Linked DNA regions of Caenorhabditis elegans. The protein of the gene in region 1 purifies or fractionates together with the protein of each later gene. This does not show direct contact. Each region holds a gene or a part of one and is shown in the gene's direction. Other genes may lie near its edges. The genes, in order: F35D11.4 and Y54E5A.5.

The links.
Region 2: the proteins of F35D11.4 (region 1) and Y54E5A.5 fractionate together in Caenorhabditis elegans (co-fractionation; one large-scale study listed by BioGRID). This does not show direct contact.

The regions. Positions count from the first base shown.
Region 1 is NC_003280.10:4,601,646-4,604,758, forward strand, and holds F35D11.4 (CYTH domain-containing protein), read left to right. Parts: upstream 1-1,781; 5' UTR 1,782-1,788; coding exon 1,789-1,886; intron 1,887-1,943; coding exon 1,944-2,013; intron 2,014-2,064; coding exon 2,065-2,421; 3' UTR 2,422-2,516; downstream 2,517-3,113. Other genes in the region: coa-3 (Cytochrome c oxidase assembly factor 3), read right to left, coding at 1-90, 147-233, 872-988.
Region 2 is NC_003279.8:14,706,250-14,709,882, reverse strand, and holds Y54E5A.5 (Polysaccharide biosynthesis domain-containing protein), read left to right. Parts: upstream 1-2,007; 5' UTR 2,008-2,015; coding exon 2,016-2,375; intron 2,376-2,615; coding exon 2,616-2,717; 3' UTR 2,718-2,824; downstream 2,825-3,633. Other genes in the region: dus-2 (DRBM domain-containing protein), read left to right, coding at 452-773, 1,190-1,281, 1,324-1,594; npp-4 (Nucleoporin p58/p45), read left to right, coding at 3,363-3,633.

The DNA.
Region 1 (3,113 bases):
GATTCCGATAACAACACCCAAAAGTACGGCAAATGAGATGTGATTCTTGTAATTTTTCGCGAAAATCTCCTTGACTCGCTCTTGATTCACCTGGAAATTGGGAAAGAATTAAGGAAAATTGAGGAAAAAATTAATTTTAAAAAAACCTTCTCAAACTGCTTGGCGAACCGTTTCTGTGGTCGTGGTAGATCCTCAATATCGATTGTTTCCAGCATCTCATTGTCCTTCTTTTTCTGGAAAAATTTAGCTTTTTTTATAGATTTTGTATCCAAAAAAAAAAAAAACACTTTTTTTGCAAATTTTCGGCTTTTCCGGATAAATTCACGGTTTTCAATCATTTTCCGTTAACAAATCCTTGGAAAATGGTATATTATAGATTATTAGGCTAATTTCAGAGTTTTAGCTGTTTTTTTCGGGGATCAAGTCTTTTTTTCAGTTGTAGAACTTGAAATATTCGCTGAAACTTCAAAACTGGCCTGGAAATCGATTATTTAATATTTTGAAAATTTTTTTGAAGGAAAAAAAGTCTGAAATTGCAAAAAAAACTGTCTGAATATTACAACAAAAAAAATTGAAAAAAAAAACACGAAAATTTAAAAATTAATTGAAAAATAATTTTTTAAGCCTAGAAAAATAACCTCTAAACTCTACAACTTAAATATAAACTAAATTAAATCTAAATTTATCTCCAAACTAAAGGAAAACAAAACCAGATGCGAAGCTGGCAGAGCAAAATTGTTTAGATTATATTCCAAACTTTACTTTTTTTTGTTGATTTTTTGAACTAAAATCGAATCTTGGATCGATGAATTTCACGAATTTTAGGCTTTTCCAGACGAAAAAACACTCCAAAAAATTTAAAAAAACTCACTTCAATTTGTGAGAACTTCGTCGTCTCCGTCGGCAATTTTTCCTTTGTGGCAGCTAGACGGCTCGTGCTGACAAGCCTTCGGAATGCCAGTGTCCGGCAATTGAGCACAGCGAGCATCTGATATTTATTTATTTTTTTTTTCGATTAAATTGCATTATTGTTGTCAATATCACAAGGTGTTCAAATATCAAGGGAAAATGTTTGAAGCAGCGGCATGAGATTTATATTGATTTTCATATGAAATGGGGAAATGTGTACTGAAAACTTTATGAAAAGGATAAAAAGAAAGAGGAGAAATGGATGAGTGAATGGCATTTTATATCAGAAGACACGATCTTTAGAGGAGAAAAGTGTAGGGAAAAGGTGAAAGTATTCGGTTTTTTTCATGAATTTCATAATTCCTATAATTTTCTGACAGAAAAATCAATAATTTTCTTTCACTTCCGCGTATCGAACGTGAAAACGAAACAAATTCGGGGGCATGTTTGCTTTAGAAGTCTCGCACTCGTGTGAAATGAGCTTCGGACAGAAAATCACTGATTTAATGTAAATATTCAAACATTTTTAAAAATAAATTGACTAAATTCATTGAATAATTGGAAAAAAAATTAAAAAAATCAGTACAAATCGAGGAAATCCGATGGAAAAGCAGGACGAAAAAGCATTTCATTGTTTTTGTTTCCCTGGCGCTACTTCCAAGAGGAGTACACACGAGGTGGACGAGAAAACCCTCGCGGCCGCAGTTGCCCGCGAACTTTTGAGCGTTTGAACTCTCAAACTTTTTTATCAGTTTTCAGTGACAATGAATTCAAAATCACTCTTTTCTCGAATTATTCGAAATTATTCGAAGCCTTTTCCTTTTAAGTGGATTATATTTACAAAATACACCACTAATTAAGACATTTTTCAGCAATACGATGTCGAGAAACGTGGAAATCAAGGCAAAAGTTCAAAATCTCGATGAGACGGTTCGCCGCGCCGTGGAAATTTCCGGAAAACAGCCGACTATCTTGAAGTGAGTTGAATCAGAATAGTTTTATTGGAAATCAATCATAAAAATGTTTTATTATAGGCAGCATGACATCTTTTACGAGTCACCGAATGGCCGCCTGAAGATGAGAAGCGTTGAGGAGAACGGAGTGGTAAATAATAGTTTTCTTTTTTACTTTAAAATTAAAATTTTGATTTTTCAGGCCCACACAGAGCTTATTTGGTACGATAGATCTGACGTGGCTGGCCCGAAGCTCAGTAATTTCAACAAATTCGACGTTCCATCTGAAGTTCTTGATGCTCTGAAGCTCTCCCTCCAATCCTCAATGGGAGTCAAAGGAGAGGTGAAAAAGACGAGAACTCTGGTGCTCCACGGTCAAACACGAATTCATATTGATCGCGTCGATGGGCTCGGTGATTTTATGGAGTTGGAAGTGTGCCTGTCGCCTGAAGAGACTCCAGAGCACGGAGAGAAGATAGCTCATGAGATTCGGGAGCTGCTCGCCGTGCCAGAGACCGATTTGCTCACTGGTGCCTATATGGATATGTTGAAGGCTTGAAGGCTTCAATTATTTGTTAAATTTGAATTTTTTTTTTTTTCAATAGCTCTCGGTTATATGTTGTTATTGCGGATACATAAAAGTTTATGCATCAGAAAGTTTTATATTTAATCTTGCAGGATCATAATCGCTAATCTCCACAACAACAAAAAACAATTACTTCAAAAATCTGACATCATTTTTTGTATTTTTCTCCTTCCTTTTATCGAAAACCTTATCAATAGAAATGTCATTTCAGCTTTTCGATTTTATTTTATTTTTTTTCTCTCTCTCTCTGTCTCTCTCTGTCGTTTTCCTAAAATTTCGTTGAAACAGAGAGGCTCAGACAATGAGAAAAACGCTTCACTCACTCGATTAATGTGCGAATTTGGAAGCCGGAGAGTGGAAAAAGAACGGAAACAAATAATGAATAACTGATGCCGATGTTGATTATGACTTTTTGAAAAGAAATAAAGAGGAAATTTTAGTTCAGAGATATTTTTTCATCAATTCTCACTATTTTTATGTTATTTTAACTAGTTTTACCCTAAATAATTGTGTGCAGCTTTGATTCACGTTCCCGCGATTTCTAATTTTCCAATTATCTGTGTACTGTATCCCCAAAAGTACGCGAATACAACCAATGCCCCCAATATTACGACAGAATGACACTGAAATTGTCTGAAAAACCAAGCTTGAATCTGAATTTCTAC
Region 2 (3,633 bases), on another chromosome or scaffold:
AATGCGTATCAAGCAACATATTTGACGCGCAAAGTATCTCATAGCGAAAACTGCAGTAGTCATCCAAAGGATTACTGTAGAAGATATTTTGCGCGTCAGATATGTTGCGCATTACGCATTCTCAGAGTTTTTGTGCTCCCGTAATTTTTTCAGTGAAAATTGAAAAATCGAAAATCGAAATTTTTTCGATTTTTCGATACTCTGTAAAATCGAAAAATAATTTCAAAAAATTAACCATAAAATATGACTTTTTTATATAATTTTGCTTATATTTGTAAGAAAAAAACATACAAATTTCTTCTAAAAAGAAGAATAATGGCAAAATATTAAGCTAATATTTGAAAAATCTAAATTTTTTGCGAAAAATAGGAAAATCGAAAAACCGACACCCTTGCCCGTAATAGAAAACATCGCAAAAATCAATTAAACAATTAATATATACATTTTTCAGCGGTCTCTCCGACGAAATCGAGCAATATTCAGATTTTGAGAAATATCAGCTGTTAACCGAGACAAGTAGTACAATGATTGCCAGAAAAGCCCTCTCAACTCCGTCAATTTTCCGTCGGGAAGGATGTTTAGATAAATACGAAGATATTCGAAATTTTCTGGAACTCGCGTGCCAATACGACGAGTCTTACACTATGACAAAATACGTTGTTCAACGGATTCTGGGCGCCGATCAGGAATATGATCCACGTGGAAAGGCGACGGTTGCCGCCGGAAGTGTACTGCAGATTTGTAAAGCGTTTGGAATGGAGGATGTATATGATGTACGGGATTATATCTGAAAATCCGGCAATTTTCGCACTGAAAATGTGTGGAAAACACATTGAAAATCACAAAAATTCACTTGAAAATCCAATTTTATTTGAAAAATTTGATGAAAATCACAAAAAGTTAAAAGAAAAACAATATTTTCATGTATTTTCAATGGAAAATCCAAAATCCAATTTTCGTGGCTTAAATTGACTTTTCCAGTCATTTTTTGCCCTAAAATTCAATTTTCACCCAGAAAATATGCCGGAAATCGAACAAAAATTGATTTTCAAAGAATTATTCAGCTTTTCAGTTGAAAAAAAAACGTAAAACAGCAATTTTAGCGTCGAAAATTGGATTTTTCCCACTGTTCTGCAACTTTTTGCTCGAAAATTACACAAAAAATTACGGAAAAATTGGAAATTTTCAGAAATGGCGAGATGAACGAAAGAAGAAACAGAGTAAGAAGCGAGCTCGTGTTGACGATGACGGTGTTTATAATATTGAAGTCTCATTTCCATTGTAAGAATTCCTCCTAAACAAAAAACCATTAATTTTCTGCAGAAAACGCCTGAAAAACTCGGTCGGCTTCTCGCCAACGCCCAAAATGGTGCTTCACGACTATTGTGTGGAGACGAAGATCCCAAAAGCCACGTATGAGGTCGTAAAACGAGATGATAAGCGATTCGTGGCGACGGCGTGTATTGGTGACAAGAAATATCGATCAGGAATTGGACAACCGAATTTAAGAATGGCTGAGCAGGTCGCCGCGCTCGCAGCCTTACATGGAATGAATATTCGGAATCTTTTGGTTGGAAATTGGGAAGAAGAATGATGTTAAATTTGTTTTTTGCTATTTTTTTGTTAAATTATATTGAAAAATTGTTTGTTTTTGCTATAATTTGCATTTAAAATCGGTTTTATTCCATTAATTATCGAATCCCCACTGCGCGCGCGGGGATGGCAAAACGCCGTGCGGCAGTTGCAAATGGGCGGAGTTTGGAGAATTTAAAAAATATTCGAATTTATTTCGCAATTTTTAGAGATTTTCAGGCTTTTTTCAGAGTTTTCATGCGTAATTTTCACTTTAAAATGTTATTTAAGTGTGTAGGATTATAGAAATGTAATTTAATTCCGCAAATTTTGTTGAAAAACTTGGATTTTTGCAATTTTTGCAGATTTTTACATGATTTTCTTCTAATTCTCCTGTTTCAAGTCAATTTTCTCTCTAATTTTCCAAATTTTCAGGTAACAAAATGACTGACTACGGAGATGCTGATAAATACGTCAACGACGAATCGATCGAGATGGCTTGGGCGATCAAAGCCGGCGAACGGTCCGAAGTTCACATGAATCTGATAATGCGGTGTGACACTCGGGTTCTTCGGCTCAACAAGCATCAGGATGCGATTCTCGCCGCATTTCGAAGCTCATTCCCCGATTTGAATGTGGAGGAGGTGACGACGAGTTTGCTGAAAGACGGCGGAGCCAAGGAGACATGGCGCGAGTTTTGTGAGCAATTCAAGGATATCGTCGACGATTATTCAATGGGAACACTGATGAGAATTCATGCTTCGAAGGCTTACAGTCCGGAAAATACTGTGGTTGTTCCAAGAGTTAGTGGGACCCAAATTGGAAATTTTTGTGATTTTCAGCATGATTTGTAGCTAGAAATTGCAGTTTTTGCGTTTTTAGCCCAGTTTTTAGCTAGAAAACTCAGATTTTGTGATTTTCGGCATGATTTGTTGCTGGAAATTGCAGTTTTTAGCTTAAATTTTTGGGAAAACTTCAATTTCCAGCCAAAAACCCCTCATCCCTCATTTTCCCATACAAAATCGATCGATAATTAATTACAGATCATCTACCTGGCAATCGAGATGGCACGCAACGTGGAGGGTGTCAACGAGAAGAATAAGGAGGCATACACGGCTCACCGCAATTCGCTCGCCTCCTTGTAATAATTTCTCTCGTTTTTTTTTTTGAATTTTTGTTGATTTTTCCCCGTTTTCTCGTTTTCCACCCTGTCGTTTGTCTTGTAGTTTGCATATAAACCGATTTCTTCGTTTTTAAAAATGATTTATTTCCAATTTCTCGAGTTTTCCAGCTCTTTTTACTTATATTTTTGTTTATTTTTTTTCCAAAAATTGATTTTCAGATATTTTTCTCTAAGAAATGTCGATTTTGATGAATTTTTCTGTGCTAAAATTGACTTTTCAAAATTTTCTCATAGACACGTGGGATAAATGCCCTAAAACTCAATTTTAGCCTGAATAATTCGTGATTTTTGATAATTTTTCATCGGAAATCGAATGTTGGATGCTAAAAACGTTTCTTTGGCAATTTTCGAATCCCCACCGTTTTTTCTCCATTAAAATCTGGATAAGCATCTCAAAATTCATGAAAAATCACTTTTTCTGTTAAAAAGTGTTTTCTGTGATTTCTGAGCGAAATTGTCAAAAAAAAAAAGTGATTTTCGCTTCGAAAATTCGAATTCCCGAAGGAAAAACCATCAAAAACCTCTGTTTTTGAATAGAAAATGTCTAAAAATCAATAATTTCCCAATTTCTTTTCTTTCTTCTCCATAAAAATTTAATTTTCCAGAAATGTCGCTTTTCGGTACAAGTACCACGGCTCCAGCTGCTTCAACAACACCTCTTTTTGGCTCAACGGCTGCTGCTGCTCCAAAGCCTGGAGGCCTCTTCGGTGCGCCTGCTGCTGCCATGTCATCAGGGCTCTTTGGAGCATCTCAGACAGCTCCTGCACCAGCTTCTGCAGGACTTTTCGGCTCAACAACTGCTCCTACACCTGCTTCAACGTCTTCAGTTCCACTATTCGGTTCGACAACAACCACCGCATCACCATCTGGAGGACTTT